Linked DNA regions of Sus scrofa. Each later gene encodes a partner of the first gene's protein in a complex. Links are inferred from orthologs where the notes say so. Each region holds a gene or a part of one and is shown in the gene's direction. Other genes may lie near its edges. The genes, in order: GHRHR and GHRH.

Region 1 (7,907 bases):
AGGCTGTAGATGTGCCCGCTGGTCCAGTCCCCTGGGGCCCTGGCCTGGCCAGTGACAGAGCAGGAAATCGCCCCTCCCCCTTCCCGCCCCTCTTTGGGGTCAAGTCCTAAGTCCCCCTGCCGTTTCCTGGACCCTGCCGTCCACCCCATTTCCCTTATTCCACGCTCTGTTCTATATTCCCTCCCCCTATTCCATGGCCCATCCCTTACCCCAGCCTGGACCACGTTCCGCTCCACCCAGACTTTCCTCTTCGCCCTCCCTCTGAGCAGGTCTCTCTGTGCTGCCTGTGGGTGTGAGGGGCTTGCAGATGCCCCCAAGGGGACAAAGAGAACAGATTGTACCAGATTATGGGGCTGGCAGAGAGACGGAGCTGACAGCTGGGAGAGGACAGGCGAGGGCTCCAGGAAGGAGATGGCTTTGGAGCTGGGTGGGCAGCGATGATGCAGAAGGACTGGGGAGGAGCCGGGTGAAGCAGCCCCCGCAGACAGGAGAGGCTGGGGCAAGTCCAAGAACTGGGGGGTCCTAACGGGGGCTGGGAGGCGAGTGAATGAGAAGAGGTGGAAAATAAAGGGAGGCGGGCTGCGTGTGGAGGCCCAGCGCTTAGTAGGTCCTCTGACACTGTGCTCGAGACGAACAGATACATGAGTGAACCAGCACGTGCCCTTCATTCATCAGGGAAGGAAATTACAATACAGACGGAGCACTTATGTGCCAGGCATTACACTAAACGCTCTGCATCTCTTATCTCCTTTTATTTCCTACCTATATTTTCATTTTTGTCCCGTTTGTAGATGAGGGACAATTGGCGATGTCACCCAGCTGCTGAGGGGTGGGAGTGGGACCCAGCCTGGGCCATCTACGCTCGGAGGCCATGCCTCTCACCCCGACAGATGAGCAGAGTCGAGCTGTGAATGAGTGCATGTGTGGGTGCCGGCGCGAACGGCGGCCGAATGGAGCCGCGTGGGAATGAATGGCCTTCCATGTCCTCAGCTCTAGGGCTTGACTTGAGCTCAGGAGAGAAGGGACGAGAAGGCAACTAGTAGCCACTCGTGTAAATTTCCATTTAATCTTTCTGAGGCGGCCATGAGCTAGGAATCGGGTTTTTCCTTTTACAGATGAAAAGCTAAGGTATGGGGAGGGTACCCAGATGGTACACAGGGACCCAGGCTGTCTGGACCTCAAATCTGTGTCTTAACCACCACATTACACCACCGCATCCCCTCTGGGGCAGCCCAAGCTGGAGCAGCCCTGGAGACTCAGGGCCTGAGTGGGGTGGGGAGACCGGGTGGGGCTCCAGTGGGCGTCCCGGCTCTGAAGCACCCGGCCCTGGCCCGCAGGTTCTGTGCAAGGTCTCTGTGGCCACCTCCCATTTCGCCACCATGACCAACTTCAGCTGGCTGCTGGCAGAAGCTGTCTACCTGACCTGCCTCTTGGCCTCTACGTCACCCAGCACGAGGAGGGCCTTCTGGTGGCTGGTTCTCGCTGGCTGGGGTGAGCATCCAGCCGAGGTTGGGCACCGTGGGGGTGGGAGTGAGGGTGGAGGATGCCCAGGATAGGCACACAAAGGTTGCTTCAGCTCACTCATGGTGACCCCAAGGCCCGGAGCGGGGAAGGGCAGCTTGTAATCCTACAGCAAGTGTTGGAGCTCGGGGCCACGTCCGCAGCCTCTGAGCTCTTGCCTGGTCCGGCCTCCATGGTGCCCCCGTGGCTGGCAGTGGAGGTGGGAGGCAGGTGCTGGATGGAGAGCAGACCCCTTACTCGCGTCTTCTCTGTACCCGCAGGGCTGCCCCTGCTCTTCACTGGCACGTGGGTGGGTTGCAAGTTGGCCTTTGAGGATGTTGCGTGAGTCTGCGTGATCCCCTCGTCCCCTCTGTCCCGGGTTCCCATGGGCTGTGAATTGGACATTCAGGCAACGTGGCTGTTGTTCAACCTGGGGAGAGAGAAGGAGCTCTCTCCTGCTCCTGCTCCTGCCTTCAGGGAATCCCCAGGCCTGAGGGTGGGGAGACATGGTCCGTGGACAGCACTGAAGGGGCCTGAGCCCCGGCAGGAAGGGGGTGCAGAGGCTCAGGGCGCCGGGGCTCCAGGAGAGGCACGGGTAGGGGGCTGTCAGTGGGGGCTTCTTGGAACAGAGGCGGAAGTGTTGAGGCTGTAAGAAGGCAGCAGACAGACTGATTTTTGAGAAACTCACCTTCCAGGTGGAGAGAAAGGGTGAGTCCAGCTTGGATTGGGGTGCTCCTTCGGAAAGGTTCTAAATGTCCGGGAGAGAAGATAAGGCTGGACAGTAGGGCATGAGGCTAGAAGACCCAAATTCCAGAATGAGGAACCTAACGGCCAGCAGGCAGAGAGAAGAGAGGAGGGAGCAGCATGGGTACCTCCAGAAAAGGGTTTTGCAGCACCTGCCCGCACGGCACCCCTGCATCTGTCCTGGCCTGTCCTCTCCCCAGGTGCTGGGACCTGGACGACAGCTCCCCCTACTGGTGGATCATCAAAGGGCCCATCGTCCTCTCCGTGGGGGTCAGTGCCTGAGACTGGTGGCCTCTGCTTTTTTCAGCCTACCGCCTGGGTCCACTGAGCAGCCATACACAGCAGGAAACACGACTCCAGGCTGGGAGTCCCGACACCCAGGTTCCAGCCTGGCTCTGCCACAGATTCTCTGTGCAGCCTCTCTGGACCTCAAGAGCCCGTTGGTAGAACCAGTGCTTCCAGCTCAGAGTTTTGATGAGTCTGTGCCCTGGTTTCAGATCACCTACTACTGCAGTGAGGCTGGGCTGTGGGGGTAGACGGCGTGGCTGCTGAAACGCTTACCTGCTCCCATGCAGAAGACAGAGCATCCAGGACTGGTTTGCGTGGCCTGGGTGAATGTACACATTTTTGTCAGTTTTGCAATTGTGCAAAGTGAAGGCCATAGGCTTTGTGCCAGAGAAGAGCCTGAGAGGTGCTGGAGGCAGGATGGCAAGGCCTGACCTCCACCCTGGTCCCATGACTGGAGAGGGAGGAGGACCCTGAGCCCCTGAGTCCTTGAACCCCACATGGGACTTCCTAGTCACTAGGTGACAAGGTCAAGGTCTAGAGCAGTGATATGCACATCCTTCCACCTGCACATCCCCGCCTCTCAGGACTTGAGGTTCCTGGGCCCCAAAGAGGCCCCACCCCCGGCATTGGAGTCACCCTGATCCTTGCTTTCCACCTTCCTGCACCTCTATTTTCCAGGTGAACTTTGGGCTTTTTCTCAATATTATCCGCATCCTGCTGAGGAAACTGGAGCCAGCTCAGGGCAGCCTCCACACCCAGCCTCAGTACTGGTAAAGTGTGTGTGTGTTTTAGGGATTATGGGACAAAACTGGAGCAGGAGTCAGCATGTTCCTTTTTGATTCACGATTAGGCATTTGTGATCCTGGTCCTATGATTCTTACCATGTTCCCAGAGAGAGAATGGATCTGGCCCCTGCCCTCTGGGACATCACAGCATAGGAAGTGTGGGGGCTCCAAACAGCCAGTTACCAGGCCAGACAGCTGATGAGTGCTGAGATCAATTTCAGTAGGCGCCTCCTGAAGGAGATCCTTTTAAAATAGATGGTGCAGTTTGGGGTGCAATCAAGGAAGACTTCCCGGAGGAAGTGTCTTTGAACTAGATGCACAGACTTGACTGGAATACATTGAGACAAGAGCATTTGGCAGAGAGAACCTTAGACTCCAGGGGTCCGAGGTAAAGAACACCAGTGGGAAGTGAAAGGAGGCAGGGGGCATGTAGGTGTTTCTAATTCCAGCCCTGGGCTTGTCTTCTTCTGCAGGCGTCTCTCCAAGTCAACCCTTCTCCTCATCCCACTGTTTGGAATCCACTACGTCATCTTCAACTTCCTGCCTGACAGTGCTGGCCTGGGCATCCGCCTCCCCCTGGAGCTGGGACTGGGCTCCTTCCAGGTGAGGCCCCCAGGCACTCACTCCTTCCCTCTGAGTCGTTGGCAGGAGGCAGGTGCTCCCGTCCATGGGCCGGGTTGACTTCACGGTAGGTCAGGGCGACTAGGCTGGCTATTCTTCCTTCCAGCCCTCGCCATTCATTCAGCTGCCCGCCAGGCTGCTCCTCTTCCATCCATCCATGTCTCTATTGTTCAATTACACCTGCACATATCTGTCCAACCATCCTCCCATCTCTCCATCCATCCACCCAGTCCATTCAATATATACTGAGCACCTATTATGTGCCAGGCTCTTTGCTTAATACTGGGCGATGCAGGAATAAAGAAAATCAGAGAAATGGGCCACTGGGGCCCACAGTACAGCCTTGGCCGTCTTGTGTGACAGTTACATGTGACAATACACTGGACATAGTAAGTGATGAACACACCTTCTTACCCTTTTCCCAAAGACCTGGCTCAAGCCATAGCCTGGCGGTGGGTGAAAAGGTAGTAGGAAGACACCTTGAGGCCGGGCCAAGGTGACGGGCCCCTTTCTCTTTGGCCCCACAGGGCTTCATTGTTGCCATCCTGTACTGCTTCCTCAACCAAGAGGTATGTGACCCTTCAGGCTGTCCTTACTCATTAAGGCTTCGCTCTCACCAGTCCTACGTCCTCCCTCCCCCTCCTGTCCAGCCCCTGTTAATCCCAGTTCTACAGTCCTTCCTGGGAGTCTGTTCTGAGCTTCTGGATCAAGCTACACCTGAATACTTCCTATAAACATCTTTTATCCATCCCTTCTCTGGGCTGGGCCAAGTTTACTGTCCATTCAACAGGAAGTAGAAGAGGCCTTTCAGGGATCATAAGAGGATGGGGGGGGGTAAAGGGATCCCTTAATTCTGTGTTCCTAAAATTGAACAAAAAGGAGAGTGGGGGAACGAACAAGTCAGTTCCTGGAGAGACAGAGAGAAGACAGAGAGGAATCAAGAAAGCCAGAGGTAGACATACAAAGTCTAGGGAGATAGATTCAGGTGCAGAGCCAGGGAGGACAATGGAGGGCAGGGCACTGGAGGAGAGACGCACAAAAACCCAGACCCAGCAGAGGTGGACAAACGTGAAGAGACAGGATAGATGGTGTCGGTGTTCTTGCAGAATGATGGAGAGATGGCAGAGAGGAGCCAATTAGAACATCCCGCCCGAAGACACTCGACACTTTCCCTTTAGGACAGACTTGCTTTATGGGAGAAGTGGGGGAATTTGAACTCAGTGCCCCAGATGACGTCTGAAAAAAGGGATTCCACAGAAATGTGTCGAGGGATCTGTTCCAGGAAGCAGGTTTGAGGGCCAGACAGTTACATGCCTCTGGAGACAGGGAGCTTACTACCTCTCAACAGTTGTCAGGAAGCTCACTTTTATGTTGGACAAACAGAATATATCTCCCTTTTGCCTTTTGTCACCGCTTAGGCTCATCTTTGTCAGAAAGGTCCCAGCCTCTCTGCTCCCTCTGCCCACCGGAGCCCCCTTGGAGATGTGAAACTGCAGACATTACCCCCAACCCCCTGCACTTCCCAAATGGCTTTTTTTTTTTTCACTTATTCTCAGTACCCTCAACTGCGACTCCTCAGAAAGTTTGGAGGCTTCACTTCCTTCAGGTCATGTCCTCTGGACAGGCTCCCAGTGGCCACAATTCAGCTCAGTGGGCAGGGGCCGGACTGAGCCCCAGAACAGGGTCTCAGCTATTTGGAGAAGACAGAGTAGGTTTTTTTTTTTTTTTTTTTTTTTTTTACCAGAAACTCAAATAAAGCACCCATAAATATCTTTAACTGGGCCTAGACAAAGGCAGTGCTAAAAGGCAGAAAAAGAGTGGAAGGGAATGGTCAGAAATACTCCCAGGAAGGAGGAAGTAGTATCCTCCAGACACAGTACTTAGCAGTGGCTGCGGCCAACCATAGCTTCTCCTGCCCCAGAAACCCCTGTCTCTGTTTCTCCTGCATGGTCTCTCCCTGTGCTCTCAGCCCCACTGGGGTTGAGTAAAGAAGCAGCCAAGGGACCTCCCTAACATCCTCCCTGTTTCCTTGGAGGTGAGGACTGAGATCTCACGGAGGTGGCATGGCCATGACCCTGAACTTCTGCCAGCCTGGAGGACTCATGCCAAATGGGCAAAGCCTTCCCGCTCAAGGGCGAAGGTGCTGACAACTGTGTGCTAAGCTGCCCTTGTCACACACCTGGAATCCACACCTGAACGTGGGCAGCGGCTTGGGTCCACCCTCCTCCAGAGGAGGGGGACCAGCCCCCTGCCCCCCAGGAACCCTCCGTTCGTGCCCTTGCCCAGGCTGCAGTCCAGCCCTTCTTTCCTGTCCTGCCTCTGACTCTTTGGCCTGAGTCCCTGTGTGTCTACCTCTGAAGTCGTTGGTTCCTCTGTCTCTTTCCTTCTCGCGTCCCTCCTCCTGGAGTCTGGGCCGGAGCCGAAAGCCAGAGGAGCCAATAAACTTGTAAATGAGTGGATGTGCTTTCGAGTGACTCCATGCGCCTCTGCCAGGGAGGGATCAGTGGGCTTTTCTTCAGACCTCACGCCTTAGTTCATGTCGCGTCGCTGTCATTTGTCTGTACTGGGGTCCTCTGGTTTAATGCACTTTAAAAATGTACCCTCTTCCATCTCTACCTCCACGCCGCTCCCCTCCTCCCACAGGCAAATATTCCAGCGTGTTCATGTGAATACTTGCATTTCTGTGTTTTCCCGCGAAATGCGTGGTGTGATGCGTGTCTGTACTTTTAATTTACATAAATGCTGTCGGTTGTATGTCTCATCCTGCTTCTAACGTCTTTCCTCCCGGCACGATTCTTGTAAGAGATCCACCCAGGTTGCCGTGGGCGCTCATCTGGTCGCTTGTTTTGACTGCTGTATGGTGCCACGGGGTGTCACCACCCACGTGTGACCGTCTCGTCTCCCCCTGGCTCTAGGTCAGTGCGTGTTCATGTGCTGGGTCTTCCCGCCCCCGAGCCCATGGCGACACATACCCGGGACTGGAAGTGCCGGGTCAGTGGTTGTGCCTTTTCTTGACGTGACAGAGTGGTGCCAGATTGCGCTCCAGAACTCCGGCCAGATCTCCACTCCCACCAGCAGTGCCGCCAACCCTTGGCATTTGCCAGCATTTTAATGTTTGCAAGTCAAATGCGTGTAAAGTGACATCTCCTTGTTGTTTCAATTTGCATTTCTCTGATAACTAATGAGCACGTCTCTCCTCTGCCTTGTTAGCCTTTGGGTTTGTTCTTTTGGAAATGGCTGGGATCTCTTTCCCTCCTTTTCTCTAGGGTGGAGATCGTTCAGTTCTAGATTTTTCTCTTCTATCTTCTCCATTGTGTGCCCTCGTGCCCCCAGCCTGCTGCCAGCTGATCGCGCCCGTGCCCCCTCCCCCCCCATTAAGAGCCACCGATGCAATAATGGTCATAGTCCACTCCTCCCCCATCCTCCTCCTTGGCAGGAGGTAGGAGGGTGAGAACTGGGTGCTGTCCTTGGGGAGCAGTTTGCTGACTGATGGGCATAGAGGGAAATTTCAGGATAGCGAACAGGCAGAAATGGCTAGTGCAGGTCAGGACCAAATCTCTCCCATTCTTGGTCTGCTCACAGCAGGTCTGTCCCGCAAAGCTCAGCTCCCCGTGGCCTCTGGGAAGTCTTCCTTCGTCACCCTCACCCTTCCTGCCATTGCCTTGTCTTCTGAAGGCCACATTCTCCTTTGCAGTCACACGGGGAAAAGAGATGCCTTTGTAAGAAACCCAAGGGCACATTGTTGGCCATGATGCTCACCCACCCAGCACCTTTCTGGTCAGACAAATGCGGCTTGGTCTGAAAACCCTGCCACGCATTCCCTTCTTCAGCCTCCGATCATGAAATTAGTTCATACTGATTGCAGGGCATTTGGGAGATGTAGAAGCAATTTAAAAAGAAAATAAAAATCAGCTGTATTCTGTTTACCGAAAGACAATCACCAGTGATATTTTTGTATGTTTCCTAAAA
Region 2 (9,689 bases), on another chromosome or scaffold:
ATTAATGGCAACTTCCTCTTTCTGTGTCTGCAGGTCCTGTCGTCACTGAGATGCAGCAACTCGGACTCTAAGTGAGAAGGGGCTTCCCAACATTGGCCTTAGTCCTCATCGGACCATGTTCTTGCCTGATGAGCCAGGCTGGAGGAAGGCTCCAAGTGCTGGGTTTTCTCCTTGGGACTTTGTCCTGGGGATCCTGGGGTAGGGGCTGGACTTGGGGATCCCGTAGCCTCCCCTAACTGGAAAAATAGCCGAGAACCCAGGGCAGGAACTGGGCAGAGAAAGATGGGGGGCCCAGGTGGCTGAGGAGGGGATGGCCTGATAATGTAACTGTCCTGGACAGTGCTCCCAGGATTTCACAAGGAACAAAGCCCTGGCTTTGGGGCATCTGGCTTTCTCAGCGAAGCCTGACATCACCAACGACTGGGAAACAGTGACATCTGCCGGCTGCCTGAGGCCAGAGCCCTCCTCCTTGGTTGGAGAACCACAGGGCGTTAGACCATCTTAGAATCCTGGAACAAAGAGGATTTGGCCTTTGATTCAGCTGTCTGGGAGGAGCCCAGGATTCTGCATTTCTAACAAGCCGCTAATACCACTGGGTCTGGGTCGGCAGTGCACCTTGTTTAGAAAGCTTTATTTATATCAATTATATCTCAGTAAAATTGAAGGAGTTCCTGTCGTGGCGCAGTGGTTAACAAATCCAACTAGGAACCATGAGGTTGTGGGTTCGATCCCTGGCCTTGCTCAGGGGGTCAAGGATCCTGCGTTGCCGTGAGCTGTGGTGTAGGTTGAAGACGCGGCTCGGATCCCTCGTTGCTGTGGCTCTGCCGTAAGCCAGTGGCTACAGCTCTGATTAGACCCCTAGCCTGGGAATCTCCATATGCTGCAGGAGCAGTCCTAGAAAAGGCAAAAAGACAAAAAGACAAAAAAAAAAAAAAAAAAAAAAAAAGGAGGAAAAAATGTTTTAGGGGGCTCAGAGATGAATCAGATCTGGTCCCAGACATCCCAAGTGTCTTAGGGGTGCTTTTCCACATATAAAATCTGTTGATCACAAGGCAAGACCAGTAGGGAACATTTCTTGGAGAGGTGGGATCCATAGAGTGCTTTGAAGAGGGGTCAGATAGATCTTTGCCTGGGAGAGCTTGCTTGAAGGATCAGCCAGGGACTGGCTTCCTGTGCTGCATGCCTGGCACCAGCACTTCATCTCCCAACCCAGAAAAACAGCCTGGTAAACAGCCATAATAACTGACTTGGGACAAGCCCAAAGATTCCAAGCAAGGTGACTGTTTAAAATACTAATGAGGGGGAGTTCCCCTTGTGGTGCAGTGGAAACCAATCCGACTAGGAACCATGAGGTTGCAGGTTTGATCCCTGGCCTTTCTTGGTGGGTTAAAGATCCAACATTGCTGTGAGCTGTGGTGCAGGTTGCAGGCACAGCTCAGATCTGGCTTTGCTGTGGCTCTGGCGTAGGCCAGCAGCTGTAGCTTCAATTAGACCCCTAGCCTGGGAACCTCCATATGCTGCAGGTGCGGCCCTTAAAAAAAAAAAAAAAAAAGCTAAATAAGTAAAAGTAAAGTAAAATACTCATGAGGGTAATATTTCCAAGCAACCCAGAGTCACTTAATTGACTTGCTAAGTACGACCGACTTTACCTCTTTAAAAGAGTTCTAATGGCCTTCCCAAATGCAGACTTTTCCAGAAAGAGGTGAACCTGGATCACCATCCATTCACAGGCACTTATGCTAGGATAGGACGTGAAATAGGAGACAGAACCTTTTGGCCCCATTTCACAGAAGAGGAAACCGAGGCTTGGGAAAGTCCTGTGACTTTGCCCGAGGCCACCAAGCCAGGCCAACCCCTACGACATCGCTCTCATAAGCACTCCTGTTGACATCTGCTGCTGCTGACTCCACAGAAGGGCCTAGAAGGCATAGAGTGGGCAGCAGGGGATAACAAAGGAATCTGGGAGTCTGGGGTCCAGGCCTTCCAGCCTTGCATGGTGGCCTCAGGCTGGGAACACCGCCGTCATCCAGGGAGAGCGATGAAAGCAGCTTTTACAAAGCAGGGTCTGAAGCCCTGGGACAGGCCCCCTTTGTCGATTCCCTCTGCGCTCCCCACCCCCAGGCCTAGGCCTCTAGCATCATCGCCCTCTGAATGGCTGGCTCCGGCACACTGGAAATTTGCAACACAAATGCTCCACTTGTCTCTCGGCGGAGCCTCGCTGCCCCAGCCTTTTGGGGCTTTTTAAAGCCAGCCTTTCTCTAGGGCGCTTTCTTTCCACAGCTCAAGCCCCCAACCCTTATACACAGGCACGATCACTAATTAGCGCTGGGTTCAAACCCATCCTGGGAAGAGAGCCGGGTGGTGAGCAAGCCGTTCCCACCCCTCGGAGGATAAGGACGAGGCGGCTGGCAGCAGGACTTGGTGGAGGGGGCCTGGCTCTCACTCTCAAGGCACATTTTCACTTCCTCCCTCCCATCTCCTTCCTTGATGGGTTGGAGCAATGACAGCAAATTAAGCTCCTCACCCAGGAGGGCTCCCAGCTCTCCCGCCTGGCTTTCTGAGCTCAGCTCTGATCATTAGACCTACAGTGATGGCTACATTTGCCAGGTGTATCAGGTACTTTACAAGCATAGTTTCTGATCCTCACAACAACCTGGGGAGGTAGGTATTATCATGCCCATTGTACAGATGTGGTAACTGAGGCTCAGCACAGCTAAACACCTTGCCCAAAAATCACACAGTTGGCTCCAAACCCATTTGATACTTTCCCAGCTTTACCGTGACTTCTCCCTTTTCTTGATTCTTGGAACATTTAGTGGTGTGTCCCTCTCTGGGTCCACCTCCTTGAGGTAGATGGTGGCACAACTGTAGAAGTTTATGAAGATTCACTGAACCATAGACTTCAAACAGGTGACTTTTTTGGTGTGTTAATTATACTTCAGTAAAACCCTTAACTTTTGGGAGGTTTTTTTTGGCTGCACCCATGGCATGTGGAAGGTCCCAGGCCAGGGACTGAATCCAAGTCACAGCAGTGACAACACCAGAGCCTTAACTTCTGGATCACCAAGAAACTCCTAAAGTTCTTAAAAAAAACTAGAAGAATTAGAATTGGTGGGCCATAGTAGCTCAGGTTGTTGTGGAATACTAAATTTGCAAGCTAGAAAACTTTGAGTCCTGGCTCTACCATTGCACAGCTGTGTGACTGTGGAAAAGTGGGTAACCTTTCTGTGCCTCTTTCCTCATTTAGAACAACGGTGATAGCAGTAGGAGCTTACTTATGTGACTTACTCTATTCCAGGCCTGTACCCTATCCACAGTCATATTTAATCCTCACCCAACAGCCTCATGAGATGAGCCCCATCACTCTCATTTCACAGATGAGAAAACTGAGATTAGGCATGAAGTCTTTAGCTCAATCCCTAACACAGAGCTTCAGCTGGGGTTGAATTCTCATCCCTGTGGTTTCTTGGGCCAGTTCTGTGTGTCCCATGTCTGTACTCTGGCCTGGTGTCCATTCTGGGTGCCCAACTCTGGGTGGTACCCACCTTGCATTCGCTGAGATAACCCCACACCTCCTGACTGTAAGAGAGCCCACTGCCCTGGGCTTCCTAACTCCTCCATCTGCCACCTGCAGCTGTGACCCATCAGCCATTCTTAGTCCCTGGGGATCTGGCCTGACCTGACCACACCACGTTGTGTCCAGGCCTGCAGGGTGATGCTGCTCAGTCCCTGCTTCTCTGGGGAACATCCCATGTTTGCTCTGTGCCAGGAACATGGCTCAGTGAAGGCTAAGAAGCAGGTTCATAAAGTGTCACTTGGAGGAGGTTCCAGAAACTACTGGTTCTAACTGCGAACCAGAGAGGTGTCCCGGGGCAGGCAAAGGCAGTCTCCACTCCTCAATCTCTAACCAGTGCAGCTCCATTTTAAAAATCTGTTTTAGGAGTTTCCTGGTGGCTCAGCAAGTTAAGGACCTGGTCACTGCTATGGCTCAGGTTCCTCAGCAGTGACCTGGGTTTGATTCCTGGTCCCAGAATTTCTGCATGCAGTGGGTACGGCCAAGAAAAAAATCTGCTTTGTATACTGCACTTCCATAGACGATTTCCAAAGAAAGTTCTGTGTCACTATTTACAAACTTGGAAAACTTCTGTTCTCTGCTGTTTTCCCTGAGCTGTGATGGGAGTAGAAATCGATAGTGTAGAAACTGAGGCCTGGAAGGCAGAAGTAACTTCTGAAGGTCACCAAAGTCATGACGGACAGACACGGAGGGGTAGTTGGACTCAGCTCACAGCAATTTCCAGTCCTCCACAGCAGCCCTATGGGAAACCAGGGCTTCTGCCTCGCACACTTTCATGCCGTTCTTGAGGCTTCTTTTGCTATCGGCTAGAGAAATCTGGAAGCACAACTCTCCCAAGGCACTCCATCTCTCCCCTCTCACCTCACACACCTCTGAGGCAGCCTTGACACATGAAACAGATGCTCCCCAGGCTCGCTGCCTACACCGACCTGTGACCGCAGCAGGTACAAGTCAAGAGGGGAAAATCTTGATAATTGGATGACAAGGGAAATAGCAAGCAACTTTCCTCACTAAGAGGAGAAAAACACCCAGCCTGTAATGTTGGCTGCCCTAAAGTGAAATAAAGTTGCACACGGACAAAACAAGATTATACCAACTTTTTAAAACGCCCATTTATCTCTGAGAGTAAATGGTGGTTCACTGTTCTGAGTACTCCAATTATTAGAGTAGCAGGATTATACTCTCTCTTCTTCTCGGAATAATATAATTTTTTTTTTTTTGCTCTGTCCGTGCTCTCGAAGATAAAGGGCAAGTTCAATACGAGTCTGAATTGGCGAGGGGCAAAACCTCTTTCCCCCGTTAGGGTTTGTCAGTGCGATGCTAAAAACGGTCCTTTGGTGGACTTGTGTGTAATTGATTCTCTGACGCTGACAACACTTAGGAAAATGAAGGTATAAATGATGCGAGTACCACGCAGGCGCTGAAGCAAACGGCGAGCCCGAGGCCCGTGGAACTGGAGCCGCGTCTTCTGGCAGAGGGAGACCTGCCACATCGGAGGTGAGAGGGGGGTGGCCCTGGGGGCCGGGCTGGATGGGGGCAAGACAGTTGATCTTCTCACCAGTTCAGAGACACCCAGTTCACCAGGCCCACTGCCGTCTTCTTTGCCCGTGGACTGGTGAGTACCTTTTAGGCCCCTTGTTAGTGGCTCTGGAACGTGCTCTTGATGGTTGGCGCCATTTTGAGGTTGTCTTGGACGCTTGGCCACTCAGTCCTCGGAGAGGTGGCAGGCAGACATGTGCCAGGTGTCTGTCAGGGGCAGCTGAGGTCTCGGTGCTCCTTCATGGGTGTGGGGGTGGGCTGCTAGAGCAAGGCACCCGCTGGCTAGATTCTCCTGCCCACAACGGGATTCTGCCACGGACCCGAAAGGAAGCAAGTGGCTGTGCAAATCAATACCACTCACCGATTGCTCAGGACCGATTTAATACAATTGCCTGGAAATTGATAACGTTTTGCTTTCTTGCTCAATTGCAGCCGCACTCCTTACTCTAGGTTTTAGACACAATGACCTGCTCCTGAAGCTTGTCTCTTGACCCTTCGGGGCTTCAGGGATCCTGAGTATTTGCGTCTTTTACCATAAGCCACCTCCAACCTTTCTGGAAGGGGGTGGGGCACCACCCTTTTGAATGACCGTTCAAGATGCTTCCTCACTAAAAACTTAGATCTCCCTCAACTTAGAGCACTATTGCTGGAAACAGTTTATAAACAGAGTCAGGATTGGGGGGGGCGGGGTTCTTAAATCACACAGTAGAATATTCGAGAAAGGTAAAAGATTTGTTTTTTTTCCCCCAGGAGTTCAAAAATGGCCTCGCTAGTTTGGCACTTGAGATCTGACCTCTGTCGTCAGTTGAAGGTTCATCTGCAGAATTCTTGTAGCATTCTTGGCACCAAGTCTGGCAAAAGGTGCCAGCTGCTGTGAATCAAGTGCCCATTTTTCCTGAAGCCAGACAACCTCGAATATATCTAATGACAAAATTAGTTTGTAAGCACTGTTGAGAACTGACTGATACTTGTAATGATAGATGATAAACCCTAAGATGACTTTGAGGCCATCAAGGAGTTGTCGGTGGTGCTGTTGGATATGCACTAGATTTAATTCCATGAATTCTAGCTCCTTGGACTGGCCATGTGGAAGATATCTGTCAACAGCTAGCTTCTCCGCTGTTCTCATCTCATAGGCTGGGTTATTCTTGTTGTTTTCCTTTTTTGTCCAGTGGGATTTTGCAACCACATGGATTAGGTTCTCAGCCCAGAGGTTACAAGGGTGTCATGACCCATCCCTCGGGCATGTGGTTTATAGCAAATGTGGTGCCTCTTGGTGGACCAGACTATGAGGTTACCCCACCTCATTCCTGAATGACCAGGGGTCATTGGACTTACGTTGACTTGCCCCCCAAAGACTGCCCTCTTATCGGGCTATTTTCAACTCCCTAAAACCACTGGCTGTGCATAGGAACACGCCAACCAAGCAGGTGTTCCTGTCTTTCCCCCTTATTTCTTCCCCAGAGACTTAGTGACAAAGAGCAAAAGCATGTGGTCTTCTCAGAACCGTTTCCCACGCACAGGTGATGAATTCTGAGGCGCCCGCATGAATAGGGGATTGTATCTGAGAGGGCGCCTCGCGGAGCAGGAGGAAGTCTGCTGGCCTGGGAATCACGAGGCCCCTTCTGAAGTGCCCACTCCGAGACTAATTTGTTGGAGGACCACAGAAAAAGGCCCTTCTCTTCTCTGGGCTCATTTCCCTGATGGTAAAATAGAGGTGGTGATACCTGCTCTGGAGGACAAAGGTGGGGGTGTCCTGGGAATCCCTTGAGCCAGCCCTGGGAGAAGTGGTGGCGGGTGGGGAGACCCAGGGGGAGCCTAGGCCAAGAGCAGGGGTTTGGGTTTCACTCTGGCGGGGATGGAGTGCCAAGGCTTCTGAGAGGTGAGTGAGTGATTAAGGGTCTGGATGTGCCCTGGTGGTTAAAGGACCAGCAGGACAGAAGGCAAGAAAGCCCAGGCTGCAGCTGGGAGACGGAAGAGCAGTGGTGTGTGGAGGAGATTTTCTGCCTCCAAATATCTCCCTGCTGAGGAAACCAGCAGTGGACCAGCTCAGAAAAGGGGGAGCCAGTTGTGACAGTGTGATGAGAAGGGCAGAAGACGAAAGACCCTCGGTTTGGGGGACGGGGTCTAAGTCAGGTGCAAAGCGCATCTAAAGGGCTTTTCGTGGGAGCTCCTCCTGTGGCACAAGGGGATCGGTGGCGGCGTGTTGGGAGCGCTGGGACATGGGTTCGATCCCCAGCCCAGCTCAGTGGGTTAAGGATCCAGCATTGCTGCAACTGTGTCTTAGGTCGTGATGGCAGCTAGGATCTGATCCCTGGCCCGGGAACTCTGTATGCCTCAGGGTGGCCAAAAATAAAAAAATAAAGGGCTTTTCGTGTGGATGGAGGTGCAGAAGCTCTGGGAGGCACAGCAGGTAGACATCGAAGGGGCTGCCCTCGAGGGCCGATATCACGGTCTCATCTTTTCTCTGGCCCCAACCCTCCCCAGAATCATGAAAGCTTAACAAGAATTTGCAGCAAAAGGGGACTTGGAACTTGATGCAATGAGAAAAACCTCCTAACAAGAGGAGCTGCCTGGAAATGGGACAGACTGGCTTGGAGGTAGTGAGCTCCCTGTCACTCACTGGCAGTGAGTGTTTGAGCTGAAACTGGAGATTGTCTGTCTGGGGGGAGAGGGCGCACGTCAAAGAGGAGCTGGTGACTGAGGTCTGGACCGCCCCCTCCTCTAGCTCTGGAGGTGCAGGGGTCTCAAGGCATGCCTGGGTTAGTTGAGACCCCAGTGTCTGGGAGAAGGGGGGTGAGCCCAGAAAAGGGAGTGGATTCCTGCAGCGCTGGCTCTGCCTGCCGGAAATCCCTCCTCAGCAGGACCAACTGGAAATGGAACCTGATGGGCAGATGGTCCTGGCCTCTCTGGGGCTGGCTGGGCCTCCAGGGCGGGGGGCTGCATCCCCATGGAGTGGACATCCTGCGGAGAGGGGGTGCCCCTGGGATATGAGAAGACCCAACTCTTAGGTGGCCGAGACACGCCGAAGCCAGCCATCTCTGCCACGCACTCGGTCTGCGTTGACGGCAGAGGCACCTCCCCTGCCGAGGCGCGAGGCGGGCTCTCTCCCCTGTTGACTGTTCTTCCCCTAATTGCATGGTGTCAGCAGGCCCCAATTAAGGATAATTACGTGATCTATGAGATGCTTCTGCCTCACGGGCTCCCCAGGCTCCCTGGTTTCTATCAGGACTAGAAGTCTTTGGCAAAATCTAAGCATCTGGAGCAAGAGGTATAGCCTCCCCCCACCCCACCCCCAGCTCCACACAAAAACAAAGCAGCCTGCCCTCTGAGCATCAGAGGATTGTGGAGAATTCCCCACACACCACACCCTCCAGGTACCCCATCTCATGCTCACAAGGACCCTATGCCCTGGGCAGAGTTAGCAACTCCATTTTGTGGGTAAACGGAGATCCAGAAAAGAGAAGCCCCCCGTCCTGGGATGCACAGCTAGTGATGGATGTGAACTCTGATTTGTCTGACCCAGAGCCTGAGCTGTTAGTCCCGCTCACCGCTGTCAGTGCCGCTGATTTAGAGGACGAAGGGAAGATGCTTGCTTTCCCCTGCTTCCTCGATGAGGCCTGAATGCCACGTGCAATGCCTCACAGCCAGGGGCAGGTTCACCATTATCCTTCACTTAATACGCAACCCCGTGAGGTCAGCCGGGTGGCTTTATCATACCCATTTTACAGATGAAAAAAAAAATGAGGTCAGAGCTTGTGTCTAGCAGAGGCCAGACTTGAACCCAACTGTGTCTGACTTCCAAAGTCTGTGTTCTTTTTCCTGCCCCACAGCTTCCAAAGGACAAGGACCAAAGCTTGCATGGGGCCAAGACCTGAGCTGGGCCCAGCCAGCAAAAGGTGTCCCAGTGGCTATGGCTCCAGCTGACCTTTTCCTCCTGTCTGTCACTCCCAGGTGCCACCACAGGGGTGAAGGATGCTGCTCTGGGTGTTCTTCCTCGTCACCCTCACCCTCAGCAGCGGCTCCCTCAGCTCCCTGCCGTCCCAGCCCCTCAGGTAAGCAGTCCTGACAACAGGCCCTGGGGTTCCTGCCAGCCCACTGCTGTCCGTGCAGGTGTGGTGTCAGGGGATGCAGAATTGAGCTGTCAGCTGGCCACAGGCAGCCTCCCCTGCTCCTCTCTGGGAGGGAGGTGGACTCCGAGCCCCAGAGAGGTCACCCCCACCCTCCTCTCTAGGGGGTGAGCAGGGCAAAGGGCAACAGAAGGACCTTACTGAGATCCGGTGAGACAGCCCACCGGCCTCCCACCCTGTCCTTTGACCTCTGACTCCTTCCACTAGGATGCCGCGGTATGCAGATGCCATCTTCACCAACAGCTACCGGAAGGTGCTGGGCCAGCTCTCTGCCCGAAAGCTCCTCCAGGACATCATGAGCAGGCAGCAGGGGTGAGCCGACATTCTAGTGACTTCTTGCACTCCAAATGCCCCTCAGTTTGCAGGGACCAACTCTGGTCTCTTCCCTTGCTCAGTACCTGTCATTTCGGGAGTTGCCAAATCTCAGCTTACTTCTAATAAATGAT

What was found.
Region 2: the proteins of GHRHR (region 1) and GHRH are in contact, whole or in part, in a cryo-EM structure (PDB 7CZ5), measured with the Homo sapiens proteins. The link is inferred for Sus scrofa from reciprocal best matches to the Homo sapiens genes GHRHR and GHRH. Residues at the interface, in NP_000814.2 of Homo sapiens: Leu119, Ala120, Glu122, Glu123, Phe126, Ser127, Val129, Lys130, Tyr133, Val179, Lys182, Leu186, Phe187, Asp190, Thr192, Asp193, His194, Cys195, Phe197, His210, Thr213, Phe217, Ala271, Cys272, Asp274, Leu275, Asp276, Trp282, Ile285, Ile289; in NP_066567.1 of Homo sapiens: Tyr32, Ala33, Asp34, Ala35, Ile36, Phe37, Thr38, Asn39, Ser40, Tyr41, Arg42, Val44, Leu45, Gly46, Gln47, Leu48, Ser49, Ala50, Leu53.

The regions. Positions count from the first base shown.
Region 1 is NC_010460.4:42,030,559-42,038,465, reverse strand, and holds the end of GHRHR (growth hormone-releasing hormone receptor precursor), read left to right. Parts: intron 1-1,337; coding exon 1,338-1,491; intron 1,492-1,781; coding exon 1,782-1,842; intron 1,843-2,444; coding exon 2,445-2,514; intron 2,515-3,210; coding exon 3,211-3,302; intron 3,303-3,790; coding exon 3,791-3,920; intron 3,921-4,465; coding exon 4,466-4,507; intron 4,508-5,973; coding exon 5,974-6,099; 3' UTR 6,100-6,393; downstream 6,394-7,907.
Region 2 is NC_010459.5:40,393,197-40,402,885, reverse strand, and holds the start of GHRH (somatoliberin precursor), read left to right. Parts: upstream 1-5,028; 5' UTR 5,029-5,189; intron 5,190-9,067; 5' UTR 9,068-9,088; coding exon 9,089-9,168; intron 9,169-9,450; coding exon 9,451-9,555; intron 9,556-9,689. UniProt on the Homo sapiens protein: GRF is released by the hypothalamus and acts on the adenohypophyse to stimulate the secretion of growth hormone.